Linked DNA regions of Astyanax mexicanus. Each later gene encodes a partner of the first gene's protein in a complex. Links are inferred from orthologs where the notes say so. Each region holds a gene or a part of one and is shown in the gene's direction. Other genes may lie near its edges.

Evidence for each region.
Region 2: hbs1l (region 1) and pelo share a complex: the UniProt entries of both Homo sapiens proteins name them as parts of the pelota-HBS1L complex. The link is inferred for Astyanax mexicanus from reciprocal best matches to the Homo sapiens genes HBS1L and PELO.

What each region holds. Positions count from the first base shown.
Region 1 is NC_064420.1:44,408,625-44,416,009, reverse strand, and holds the start of hbs1l (HBS1-like protein), read left to right. Parts: upstream 1-4,368; 5' UTR 4,369-4,466; coding exon 4,467-4,509; intron 4,510-5,815; coding exon 5,816-5,881; intron 5,882-7,385. UniProt on the Homo sapiens protein: GTPase component of the Pelota-HBS1L complex, a complex that recognizes stalled ribosomes and triggers the No-Go Decay (NGD) pathway.
Region 2 is NC_064422.1:3,551,618-3,559,412, reverse strand, and holds the start of pelo (protein pelota homolog), read left to right. Parts: upstream 1-4,770; 5' UTR 4,771-4,942; coding exon 4,943-4,983; intron 4,984-7,795. UniProt on the Homo sapiens protein: Component of the Pelota-HBS1L complex, a complex that recognizes stalled ribosomes and triggers the No-Go Decay (NGD) pathway.

The sequences.
Region 1 (7,385 bases):
ATCCTGCAAGGTGAAACTAGGGGCACACACACACACACACACACACACACACACACATCGGAGTTTACCTCCTGCTGCTGTGTTTTCCTATCTGTGGCTCAGGCAGCTTCCTGCCCACAGTGTAAAGCAGCAGGGGTGGCCTTTTATTAGGCCTTGATTAGTATCAGTAGATCAAAATGAAATGTGGACAGTCTTTAAAGATAACACACATAAAATAGTGGGTAGGACAGACATCCCACCCTGCAAAACACTAACTTCAGCGAGACAGCATTAAAGCCTCAACCTCAAACTTTCTTCTTCTTCTTCTTCTTCTTCTTCAGAAAAAAAAACAAAAAAACAGCTCAATATAATTTCTGCTTTAATTTATCCCACTGTTGGTAAGATAGGTGTCATAGTTCCTAACATTGTTTTAACTGTGTTATTATTTCACCCCTATACAGAAGAAAAAGACTGTAGTTGGATAATTCTGTACCACTGTGTGCATTAGCCAATTAGCCAGCATAAAAAGAGGCCAATCATGATGATGTTTTTGTTACTTTCTCACTAAGTGTGTATGTGTCTTCCTCTTTTGCCCCTTTCCTTCCCATTGCCTTAATGCTCCCTCTCTTGTTCACTTGCTGGCCCTAAACAAATATTACATATGATCATATATAATATGTGGGCATTAGAGAGCCACTATTAAAATGCGGGAGACTCCCTGAACTACAGTGAGAGGTGGGCTCTTGGGAAAAAAATACTCCAAACAGGCCTATTAATGATGTAGTATGAAAGAGCAGAATTATTTCGCTTTACTTTTTCATTTTATTTACACTATATGTCCAAATGTATGTCTAGCCACTGCAGAGGTATATTGGCAACAGAAAATTAACATATTGGTGTGGGCATTGAGAGTAGAGAGATATAAAGCCACCCCAGTATTGAGCTAATGCTCCATACAGTACTTTAGGGATGAGTTGGGAAGTTTGAGATGAGGTGGAGGTGGTGATTATCCAACATCGTGACCTCACTAATACTCTCTCACTATTGCACTATTGTATAAGTCCTTACAGCAATTCGACCAAAATTGGGTTGTTGTGTGTTGTTGTGAGATATTGTAAAACTGGTTTGAATTTGTTCAACCAATCAGAGGCAGAACTCTCCATTTCCTAGTATTGCTTTGTTTATCTAACTGTTTCTAATTGTTTCGCTGTGTGTCATTTTATTTAAAGTACAGTTTTTATTACAGGGAATTTAAGCAGTTTAACTGTTTCTTTCCATATAAAATATTTTTGTAGGTTAAACTGATGAATCACGTTTACTGATTATATTTATCCTAAGAAGTAGCCCTGAGTAAAAATACTCAAACTTTCCATCGACTATGGACACAGAAAAACTGCCAAGGCACTCTAGCCAAATGAATCAAGGTTGTGTGAGTATATCTGTATCTGTTTGTGTGTGTGAGTGTGTATGTGTGATTGATCTTCCTCTGCAGGTTTTATTTTTTTCTGTGCTGAAAGGTGTCATTCACATCTGTATGACATTTGACACTTGTGCACAGACCTAAATTTAACTCGGAACAAAAACAGACACCTGCAGTACTCACACACTTTCTCAACACTGCAGCTTTGAGGTTCTCTCGCCTCATGCTTTCTTAGAGTGACCTAAATCTACACAGAGTGAGGGATGGAGAGAACAAGAGCATTTCACGGTTCTTTATATGGTTATGTTCAGTGTATTTATGGACACCAATGTGTGGTGGATAGTTGTGGAGAGACTAGAAATAGGCGGTCACAATTACCAGTTTTGTAAGTGATATATTGTTCCAAAAATAATTGCAATAAATAACACAATTATTGTCTTTTTACATCACAAAAAATGTTTGCATCCAGAAGGAATCTTTTGACAGGAATGAATTTAGGTGGGTAGTCATGGCAGATCTTCAGCGATGAGTCACATATTTGTATTGGTTTGATATGACCAATGACCCCGAATGTGGAGGGACTGTGGTCAGCACCAAGATCAACAGTTGCAATTTTCTACAATGGCAGATCACCTTCAGACTTCATTAAAGACACTTTCACAGCCCAATGCCATGTTTTTTCCACTTTTTTTTTCCACTTCCATTTTTTCTCCCCTAATTTAGCTAGGCCAATTGGCCGACCCATTTATCTGCTAGTCAGCTGTATATCCCCCAACGCTAGTGATGCCACAACACAAGGAGAGTAAAGACTAGCACATGCCTCCTCCGAAACACGTAAAGTCTCTTTTCCAACTGAGTAGCATCACAGCGCGCTCTGAGGAAAGTTCCAATAAATCAGCTCACAGATGCCCTTTGCTGATCTACATCTAGGGTGTAGACGTCACCTAGAAGCATCTAGGTTGAGCGCCATCTACCCACCAAAAGAGAGCAAGGACAATTGTACTCTCTCAGGGATCCGGCAGCTGATGGCGAGCTACATGACTTTCGAACCAGCGATCTTCCGATCTCGCTGAAAACTCTCAAATTGACTACGCCATGTGTAGCTGCAAATTTTTGCAACAATTCCCCTTGAGATGAATAGCATAATAATGCAATCACACATTACTTTTAAAGAGCAATTCATAGAGCAACTTGACGTTTCCTCTACCATTGGAAGCTATGGTTGGTAGTGGAAAACTAACTGGGAACCAGATACCAAAAGAGAAAGTAAAGTCAAGTAGGGTAGGCACCATGCACATACCCTTCTTTTGCACCCATTCCACATACTTTTGTAACACCTTGTTAAGAAGTACTTCCAGTAAAACAGGACTCTCTGGAACAGATAAACTTGGACCTTTTGGCATTATGCCATGCCTAATGCTAGGCGTGAGCTAGAGGGGTATAAAGCCCTTCAGCACTGATCTATGTAGTGGAACTATATATGCTTCTAGATAATGATTTAAACACAAACTCAATCTTCGATTGTAGACTAAAATAAACTTGTTTAGTTTAGATTTGGTAATTTATATTTCCCTTTGGTTAAAATGCTGCAGATTCTAGTGTTTATAGAATTAAGGATATAATATAAATGCAATCTCTGAGGTTTGTAGATGATAAATTGGATGGATGCCAGTGTTTCAGGGTGCCCTTGTGTCTATGTTACCTCCTGGCTCTCTCTCTTTAGTCAGCCAGTGAACTAGGTAAATTCCCTTGATTTCAGAAGAAAATATGAATAAGCTTTTGTGCACGTTTGTTGCATATACTGCAGCTTTGTGCAAGGCTACCCAAACAGACATGTGTTACATTTGTATACATCTGTATTAGGAGTAAGACAAGGCGTGGGACTTATATTTAATGTGAATGCATGCATAATCATTTATGACAGTTTCATCAGTGAGATGCATCACATTATGTAAGACCTTTGCTCCTAAAGTCCTGCTGGAGAGACAGAAAGAGAGAAGAGAGAAGCAAGTGAGGGCAGAGGGGGGGAGAAGAAGGTGGTTTCCAGGACAGGATGAGGTGCAGCAGCTGTGGGAGAGTTTCCACTGGGAAATAACTCTCTCAGGGGATTTTTCCACCTGGTAATTTCTCAGTATGTCTCAGAGCCAAAGACCAGTGGCTGAAACAAATTAAATATTTAATTTGTATTTACCATTTAATTAAACATAACTTAATAATAAGGATGCACAAATGTGGCACTGTATTTTTAAGTAAACTACGACATAATTGTCTGTTTTTTTTAATAAAAAAATAGTACAAGAAACATTATTTAAAAAGGTTATTAAAAATAACCCACAAGACACCTTTTAAAGGTGTGTTTTAGGTTTTAAAGGTCTGTTTCAACCATTTTAACAATTTACATGCTTAAATTAAATTATGTTTTATTAGGCGTTTTTTTTTGCTGACCTGATTTCTAAAACTGAATGCTAAAATACAACTTGTATTGTCGTTGTTGTCGTGTGTCATAATTTATCATGATAAAGAATTAATTGCTCACTACATTTATCTAAAAGAGATAAAAATTTTGTCAGGTCATTTTGGAGAATTTGTATTGGTCCATTCATCAATTTTTATTTTTTAAACAATGTAAAGGATATTTTGTACGTTTAAATTGTGTAGTAAATTACAAATAAACAAAAATAATAAATAATAATAATAATAAAAAAGTATTTTATTGGACAGGAACGATATGTGTTTAAAGTAAATACAGATTTAAAAAAAATATATATAATCTGGAGCTTATGTACTATTTATGAAAGAACTTGGGGAACCCTAGAAGAATCCAAAAACTTTATGGCATCATTTCACTGTCTACCATGTTTTTGCAACATAAAACACATAAAAACATGCAATTATTGATTATTAAATAATTTAATAAAAACAAGATTAAAGTGACTTTTATTCCAAAAGTCTTCACTGCGCATGCGCGCCCTCGCCGCGTTGACGGGTAATCATGGCGGCAGTGGAGTGAGACGCATATGCCTGAACTTTAGCCTGGAAAAAGCACAGAAAACTCCCTGAATAAACCATGTCTCGCCACAGGAATGTCCGGGGCTATAACTACGACGAAGGTAGATTATATACCAGCTAGTGTGCGTGTGGCTGTCTCAATAAACGAGTTTTAAAAGCTGGAGATAAGAGCTGAGAGCTGGTTAGCTGGGTGGCTCAGTTAGCTTAGCTTAGCCTGGCCCGGTGTGATTGTTTGAGTGATGGCGTGTCAGTACTTTACCGCTGTTTATATGTAATAAACTGTCTGTAGAAGTTCCTGTCGTGCTTAAATCTGCTGTAGAATAGCTGTACTTACATTTATCACCTTTCAACAACACGCTGCTTGCGTTTCTGCCAGTATATTTTTAGCAGTATGAAGTTACTGCAGTGCTAATGCAGCTATCTGCATCTGCTAACCAACCGTTAGCTAACTTCAGTCTGAAACATGTCCATTTATGAGCTTAACTAAACACTTATTTGTGTTTATGCTTTGTGTTAAACATATAAAACATATAAACATATAAACTGTCTATATTTTAATGTTGTAGATCTGCTCTTTTGTGGTGTTATCTGTTTTGGTGAAATTGTGCAAATTAATAAACATTAACCTAATAAAAGCAGTCAGTAGTGTTCTTAATGTTTCACTAAATAAGCATATTTTAACGATTAAGATTTATATGAGGCTCTAATACATATATAAACTGTCTTTATTTTAATGTTGTAGATATGCTCTTTAATGGTATTGTCTGTTTTGGTGAAATTGGGCAAACTAATGAACATTAATAGCTAATAAAAGCATGTGTGTTATTAGTATTTCAGTAATAGAGCTTAAGTTAACGTTTAGGACTTATGTGTGGATCTAATAAATATATGAATTGTCTATGTTTTGAAGTTGTGTCAGACAATGCTGCTGTTTACAGGTTTGATGACCAGGCCATATGTGAGTAGCTGACTCAGTGTTTAATGCCATTTGGTACACTGTGAGTGTATTTAGAGCTGGGCAACAAACCGATATTTGATTGTATCGTGATTCATTTTGGAATTGTATCGACAATATGCTTTAATATACATATCAAAGATATCACCATTATTGCTTAAGGAACACCGATCCTGCTCTACTTTTCATTAGAGTTTTAAAGTGTTTAATTAATGGATGGCATTCAGCAAAAAAAAAAAAAAAAAAGCTGAATAAAAAAAACACTTTACTTTGCATTGAAGAGTATTTAAATAGCAGTGTTTTAAATTAATTGGTTTGACGGGTGTGCCAAAACATTGTTAAAAAAAGAAATATAATTTATTGTCTATACATATTGTGCTTTAAATAATGTTTTTACAATCTCTCTTTCCTAATTGAGCCTAATTTTGTCTTCTGTTCTCTTTTCCTCACAGATTTTGAAGATGATGACATTTATGGACAGTCAGTGGATGATGATTACTGCATCTCCCCTGCTACAGGTTGGTTCTACTGAGATTGTGGTAATTACTCTCATGTCATGTGACTCTCTGTAACAGTACTGATGTTGTGTGTGATGCTGGTGGTGTTGGCTAGGTTGTGTAGGCTGTGTTTTGTTGTTTTGATAAAATGAGGCGTAAATATTTTTCAAGTAAAGTCCAGTCGCCAAAACAGTGATAGTCAGTGATTAGTCCTTACCTCTGAAATGGCCAATTAACAGCCTCAACTCTAAGTTTATTTTTTTAGATGTTAGTCATAATTAATGAGGCATGAAAGTCGTGGTTTGGTTCTCACAATGGTTTGGATTTCACCCTTCTACCTTCCGAAAGGCATCATAGAACCAATCTTCACTTTGTTAATTTCAAACTCTTGAATGAAGGTGTAAATAATTTGGAGGAATAGTCTTTTAAAAATATCAGTCAAAAGCCCTGTCCGGACAGGATTAGTTTTTTTGGGGGGTCCTGAGGAAATTTTCTCTTTTATGGGGAGTCCTCTGTGATTATTAACATCCGGAATGACCATGTTTGGGCAAAATTACAGGCTGAATTATCTACTGTTTTTCGCTAATCTCCGTGGTCCTCCAGTAATTTTATTCCCGTCCAGATTTCTGAGTTCCGTCACCTCGAGTTTAATAAAATGGCTATTTGTCCTCTGTCACGCACCATATTTACACTTTGGACGCTTGTTTCCATGGAGATTCATGTAAACAAAACAGCGAGTGGAAATGGAGGAGCTACTGAACGCGGTGTCACGTTATCGAGAAAAAAAACCTCACAGGTCCCCCTGTTTATTTCAATTGCAGTCTGGATGTAAGAGTTTTATCACTGAGTAGAAGGGTGAAATATTTTTCACAGATGTCCCCCTGAGAAACTAATCCCGTTCAGATAGTGCTTAAGATGCTTTGGGGAAAGGGTTGTCAAACACAGTCCTAGAGGACACCACCCAGATGGACCACATTTTTGCTTCAGTCTGACTGACAGCCCAAAGAGATGGAGCACTGATTTAGGTAGAGAAGTGTCCAGCACAAGTTCCAGAACTGTGAAAAAGAATATCTTGAAATCTATTACAATTCCCACAATACCATGCAATCGTTTGGGTGAAACATGCTGTTGAATTTTCATCCTCTCTTGTTATCTGCGCCTTACAGCTTATTTTAATGCTCTGTGAGACTGTGTGTACAGAACCATGCCAAACCATCTGTCCTAATGCAGAAACCATTATGAATTATTCAGCATTTATAGCACATTCTGGAATTTAAGAGGTTAACCAAGAGTTAGTTTCCAAAGTGTTGCTTCTTTAGTTTTCTCTGCAGCTACAAGGCTAATATAGGAATTAATTTATCTCTCTGTATCATCTAAAATCTTAAAAAAATATATAATCCTTTAATAGCCTCATCAACCAAACTGACTAGGGTTTGAAACCCTGGTTAGGCTTTTACACATCAACACCAAAGATCGTCCTGAGCAGGTATTTTAAATCTACGTTGGCCTACCTGTGCAACGTAAT
Region 2 (7,795 bases), on another chromosome or scaffold:
CTTCAAGTGAGTAACGTAATCTGATTACTTTGGATTACTTACAATATTGTCGTTTTTTTAAGCCTGAATGAATGTAGCAACCACATATTGCACATTATCCTTTTATTTTTCTTTCCAGGTAACAAATAGAGAAACAAATAAAACAGCCTTTTTAATCACCCTATAAAAATACTTATGAAACCATTTCATCAAACTATTTTATGAAACACTTCTATACATTGATGAAAAAATCATTAAAAACCATTAAAAACCAAACAATGCAACAACAACTGTAAGCTATTAATTTGCAGGTTTGCCACTTTCTGCAGGTGGATTATCTAGGGGTGAAAATCACAAGATTCATTATGATATGATATGATTATTTTATTCAGCGATACGATAATGTACGATACCTCAAATTATGTCACGATACGATACGATTCGGTTCAATACGATTTTTACAATCTGTTCCTTTTCTAAGAACTCCCAAATGCAAACAAAATATAATTTGAATGTTTTATTATTAAATGTCAATTGCAGTGTAATCATAAAAAGTAAACAATCATTCACTTCAACACTTTAATTTTCATTCTTTAGGTTCCATTTGAGAACATCAAATGCAGAAGAAAATGTAAAACAAAATAAATAAAAAAAGCGCCTGTTATAATTAGAGTTAACAATGTGTGTATGGATGTTGGTGATGTATATTCAATCATTCTCTACATTTCCTGATTCAGTAGGGTCTTGACAAACAAATTACAAAATTGGTCATTTATAGCACAATGCATTAAAGATTTCCACTGCATTATATTAGGTGTCCACCAGGCGTCTCCAAAGTGTTCAAAACCTCTCAAGATACACAAGTAAATCTGTCACTATACAATAACAGTTTGTAATATTTTTGTTTGTTTGTGATAAAATAAATTAATGTCTATGTCAGAGTAATATTAATATTTTTTTGATGAAATGACGTATGCGCGCTGTGGGCGCACCTTTGTTTACCAGAGGCATTTTGGTGACAGCTGTTAGGCATGCCCCACCCCCAGCCATTAGGAGACCAATCAGGGCAAATTACGTACCAGTGTTTTCGTCTAAGGGTGGACTATTGGTTGAAATAGGTGTCAATCACTTTTGTGACCTTGGAGAAAGGCTATGACCTGATTTGATTGGATTGGATTGATCCAGCGCTCACGTTATTGGTTCAGACGATCACTCAAGAAAAATAGTGGTTTGTGGACCAATAAAAACCACAGAATCGACAAGAGGACATCCTTAGCTTTGTATTCACGTACAACTTTACGTGAAAACATTACATGTGTGGTCGCTAGGAGTTTGAGAATATGACGTTGCGGTTGCGCTGAAACTAAACGCATGATTGTGAGGAGAAGTGAGCAGGAGAATAAAGGACTTTATGGATATTTTACCTGCGGTTCAGTGCTGTATTGTGGATGCTGTGATAGTAAGTGATTTTTCTATAATCTTATATGATGTTATTTCACATATTAATAATATTTTATAAGGCTATTTTGTTGGGGAGGCGTGTTTCACATGTAAACAATGTAAAAATACAGGCTGTTTTCAAGTTGGAGATTTCTGGCGACTGGTTTCATGTAGATGTAAATTTGCGTGCAGGTAGTTAAAGTAATACTAAAGAATATGAGTTGGTTAGTTGGTCGGTGTGTTTAGAATATTTTACGCCTTTAAGCATTCTACTTTACATAGTCAGAATGGGCCCGCCGACGGGCCCGCTAGGGGGCGCTTCTGCTGTGAAAACATTCTGATCGAAGGTTGTGAAACATAGAATATTCTGATGTCGTGATTTATGTGAATGTGATTGCGTTTTGTCAGTGTTGGATTGGAAGACCAAAAATAGGGAAGTACCGCAATGTAATCCATTTATTTTAGCAGAGTAACTGTAATCTGATTACCACTTACTGAAACAGTAACTGTAACGGATTTGTAATCTGATTACGTAACGCCGTTACATGTAATCCGTTACTTCCCAACACTGATTATCAAGGGCGTAGGAGCGGGCTTGATATTGGGGGGGACACATTTGCCAATATGAACCCAAGCCCACCCTATAGTTTCCTAGAACAAAATTTGTGGAAATTACTTTAAATTAAAAGTAAATTATTATTATAAGGTGATTTTACAACCTAAACATGTTACTCCACATTACAGCTACTGTTGTTAGAAAAATTATGCAAGCAATGTCTGAGTTATCACCTAATATTTAAAATAATATAACAGATTATTATTATTGTTATTATTATTATTATGTATTGGCATGTCAATTCTGTTGTATATTTACATTTTCTCCTGCACTTTTATTTTTTTCAAATGAGAGCTCTTCTTAAGATGGTGTCCTTTTATGTAAAAGAATGTAACTTTACGTTTCATAGAGACTTTTATAAACGTCATGATATGTGGTCTTACTGTGAACTACAAATGAACAGAAGTCACGTTACAGCAGTATTTCTCAACCCAGTTCTTATATATTCTACTGCATATTAAAACTGTTCTGCATGTTCTAGAGCTTCCTCTGGTGGATATACATGATTAATTTAAAGGATTTTAACAGGTTAACTCAGTAAATGACTGTTTATTAGCTGATCAGGTGGAAAACACTAGTTTAGGGCAGTGATCGGGGTTAAGTAACTGCTTTAAACTACCAACTTAAAGTACTGTACGAAATTCTGGCGATCATCTACATCCAGCTTCTAGATAACTAGTTAGTTAAATCAATTTTCGTTCATTATAGCTCACAGTAAGTCCTGTAATCCTAAATGAATAAACAGTTTGAAAATTAAAGTGATTAGCTGATCAGGTACAGGGAAACATTACATATATATTTTATTTTTTTCCTTTAACCCTGACTCCCAATCTAGCTAATTCCAAAGATAAGCTTACACACTAACACAGCTGCAGTTTATTAATCACAGTGGGTTTAAACTGTGTGCTGATTCAGAGACGTGTATTTTTAACCAGCTATCAGAAACATATCATCACAGTTGAAGTGGTTAGCCTATCGTTACCTTTCTTTTAGAAAAATCTCCGTATATCCATATCTGTTTTAAAATCAGCTGAAGCTGCTGCGTCCCGATCCCGCTGCTAAATCTCACAGCGAGGGGGCGGGGCTTCCCCAACAGCAAACTGCCTCTGCTCCGCGCGCCGCAAAACCAGCAAGCTGATTGGCTGTTTCTACTGAGAGGCGTGACTTAATACCTGAACCGGCTCCGTGATTGGTCCGGTCTGTCTCCTCATTAATAGTACAGCTGACCTGAGCGAACTGATATCATTTTTGGGGGGGACAAATCCACCTGTTTCTAATATTGGGTGGGACATGTCCCACCCATCCCCCCCGGTTCCTACGCCTATGCTGATTATATACCTGTGAAAGATTACCATATGGGAAACTTAAACAACATGGTCCTGCGGATGCTACTAAAATATGCACAAGAAACTGATTACACTGTTTATGTATGCTTCTGAGCTCATCTAAGTCTGCATTATAGTTTTGATTTGTAATGATGTTTCAAATAGTATGTTAAAATAACTTACATAATTTGCATACAAGTGTAATTTGGGTATATTATTACATTTGTATTATACCTATTATATTTCATAATATAAACTGCCTACTCTGAAACATTGTAATTATTATTATTATTATTATTATTATTATTATTATTATTATTATTATTATTATTATTATTTTAGACCAGCTATTTTAATTTTATATTGTGTTACAGATTTAAAGCAGGTCTTATATGAGTCATTTATACACTCAAACTGACACAAACTGTCACACATTGCATAATATTAATATTTATATTATATATATATATATATATATTTTTTTTTACAGTTGGACCTAAGCCTTATAACTGTATATATAAAATTATGGTTCTTTACAATGTATTTTTGTTTAACATTATGACTTTATTATTGTAATGTTACGACTTCAATCTTGTAATATTACAACTTTATTCTTGTAATATTATGACTTTACTCTTGAAATATTATGATTTTATCTTGTAATATTAAGACATTATTTTTGTAATATTAGAACTGTAATCTCATAGTTTTTATTAATGCAATATTATGGCCCTAAAATGCTGTCATATATACAATCCTGAAGCACCATCAGTCAAAAGGTGCATTTTCTGAAGGAAATATAACAATTTTAATCTCGTAACATAACTTTGTTCTTTTAACATTACATCTTCATTCTCGTAATATTACGACTTTAATCTTGTAGCATTACAAATATATTCTTTTAATGTTGGGTCTTTATTCTCGTGAAATTACAACTTAATCTTGTAATATTATAACTTTGTTCTTTTATTATTACATCTTCATTCTCATAATATTACAGAATTATTCATTTATTCTTTTAATATTGCGAGTTTAATCTCGTAATATTATATCTTTATTCTTGTAATATTACGACTTTAATCTCGTAATATTGCGACTTTATTCTCATGATATTATGGCCCTAACATGCCGTCACATATAACGTAAACATCACTTAAAAGGTGCATTTACTGAATGAAATATTACGACTTTAATCTCGTAACATTACAACTTTATAGTATTATTATTATGTCTTTATTCGTAATATTACAACTTTATTCGCGTAATAATACGGCCCTAAAAAAACCGTCGTATATACAAGCCCGAAGCACCATTAGCAGAGAGCTGCATTTACTGAAGGAAAGGCAGGATAAGCAGGACTTTCCCTTTAAGTGAGTCTGCTGCTGCTGGGTCAGAGCCGCGTCGCCGCTGAATGACGCTGCACGCGCGCCCCACGCTGCTGAGTCGGTGTGAGTGAGTGTGGAGAGAATGGCAGCAGATAAACTCCCAGCAGCAGATCTCCCAACACACAGCGAGTTTCTGGATTAACCCTCTCCCACACCCTTCAGCGCTACTCCACAACTACAGGACCGTCTGAGCCACCATGAAGCTCCTCCACAAAGACATAGAGAAGGATAATGCGGGGTGAGTGAAAGTGAAAGAGAGAGAGAGAGAGAGAGAGAGAGAGCGAGAGAGCTCAGCCGGCTGTTCTTTCAAATCAAACAAACCTAAATTAATGTAAATAATCTTCTATCGGCTCCTCTCTGAACAGCTCTCCTCTGACCAGCTCTTACTTACTCAATGTGATTTTGGGTGATTACTACACAGGTTCTGCTCTAATTTAGCCGATAGGACTGAAAGTCTAAAGCTGACGGCTACCGTATTCCTGCCCACGCCCACTGTCAACATTGTCCCGCCCCTCTGATCGACGCAACCACGCCCCTTGATAACAACGTGGAAATTGCATTGTCAGATAATCAGATTAATCAGAAAAGTATTCTATGATTAATCTCGATTACGATCAATCATGTCTTCCTTTTTTCTAAGACTTAAGCTTTTAAAAGTGGATATTTAAGCATTAATACATAGAAGAATTAATGTTAGATTTGTGGAATGTTAGATTTGTGGTATTTATAGTAGTGGGGTCAATCACTTAAATATTAATTGTATTAATCCCAACAATATTCTGTAATTATAGTGCCAGTCTGTAAGTCCTTGGTGGGAAAGTGTAATTGCACCAAGCATGCTAAAACTGTGCCCTTGTGTGGTGTTCGGGTCTGTGGGACCCGTTTTCATTTTTCATCAAATGACACACAAAATGTTTTTTTCTAACTCAAACTCATTGGCATTGGCTCATTTTTTGTAAATTTGAAACTAAACAAATGTTCTACTCATATCTTGAGTTTAATTCATTTTCTTTTACATTTTATTAAAAAACTAATAAAAAAAGAGTAGCACTTTTTGAATGAAATGTAACATAAGAAAGGTAAAGGGCAAATATTAACCATGTAAGCAGTTTATATTGCTAGCAATTTAGGTGAAGCAAGCATGTGTAAAGCATTTTAATGTAAAATGCCTTAATTTTGCTGAATTAAATACAAGTAACAAAGTAAACGAGTAACAAAAATATGAACACCACACAAGGGTTAAAGCATGGATTGTGATGCAGTCTCTTTTAAAAAATGAATGAATCTGGTGATTTTGGCTAGGATTCTGATTTTGCTGTCTTTTATCTCTTCAGCCTTGATTCTGTGTTTCTGTGGTTTAATGATATGTGAATGAGCAGATGTAGAGTGAGTTTTCTTTCCTGGTTCCATCGAGTGCACAGTAGCTCTTGTATCAGAACCATTAGCAGCACCATGTTTGCTCAGGAAACCGTCAAAATCTTTTACAGCCAGAAAAAGGTCACAGGACCTACCAGACACTCTGATTTTAGAATGCCTTTATGTGGCTTTGCAGGAATATAATATTTTGCCCTCTCCCCACTCAAAAACACTACTGCTTTCCATTATAAAATAAAAGCCCTAAAGGACTGCTGCTTTAACACACGTCTCTCTCTGATGAAGACTGATGTGTTTCTGATTAGATGGGTTGTCACAAAGACATAAGAGCGGGGTTGACTTTGAGGAGAGACACATTTTTACAATTAGTTGCAAAATACAGAAGATTAGAATGTACAGTAGATCTGCTGTACAGATTTATATGGTCCCGACTAGGGACTATTATGTTTTCCTCAGTTTATCGCTTTTTACAAACTATTTTTACAGGCCTTTTAAAGGGTTGTGTTTTTTGAGTACAAGTATTTGGCCATGGTAATAGAAACAATGCACCTCTTAATAATTGACAATTGTCTTTAATTATTTCTTAAAACATAGTAGCCCTAGTTGGAGTTACATAAATAGTCACGTACTGCCTGAAGTGCTGCTAACAAGAGCTGCCAGTGCTTTAACTCGCATGTTTCCTTAATATCTGATGATAAATCCTGATCAATTTATCCTTTAGCACTTAAAATATAATTCTTAATTATTTAATGTCTTTACAACACAAAATGCTCTGGTGTTGTGTAATGCAATAATTTTTTTAAATGTAATATTTTATTTTATGTTTTATTCACAATAGGACATAGAACACATATACGATTTTGAAAGTGAGCCAATTTTACAGTTTCTTTACTTGTTCTAACAGCAGTGTGTAAATGTGTGGGAAGTCAGGAGAGCAGTGGGTGGAGTTTTGGGGTGAAGAATTTTAACCTATTTCTTGTCTGATGGAGGAATCTAGCTAATCAACAGTCCTGCCTCCTTTTTGCTGGATTTTTTCTTTCCTGATGTGCCAAATGTTTTCTGTTGTTGAAAGGTCAGACCAGTTCAATATCCGGACTCTTCTGTGAATTCCTGCTGTTGTGATCGATGCAATGTATGGTTTTAGCATTGTCTTGCTGACAGAGACATTGTCTGGGTGAACAAAGCTCTTTGTAGTTTTTAGCATTGTTTGGGACTTTCCAGATGCGCAAGCTGGCCACACTTTAGGCTTTCATTTTGCCATCAGAGATGGACCCTTAACTTCTTCATCTCCAGAACACAGTGTCTAAATTAATTTATTCTCTAGATATCACAAGACAATTCTCCACGATACTTCCCAGTTGGGTGTATCGCAAAAGAAAACTATACTATTCGATATATCTCCATATTGATCATTTGTACCATCCCTACTTTTGCCCTGAGAATTTTCTGGGCTGTGTTAACATAGTATAATACAGTGAGGCCTGAGGGTTCGAAGATCACCAGCATCCAGTGTTGAATGCCGGCCTTGTCCCTTTGTGCACAGGGATTTCAGGGAGTCTTTGACTTTTTTAATAATCGTGTGTACTGTAGCTCCACCTCACTAGGCCAATGCAAGTTAAAAACAATACTGCTTATTAGTTCACACATAACTCTCTTATGTTTTGTGTTTTCTTGTC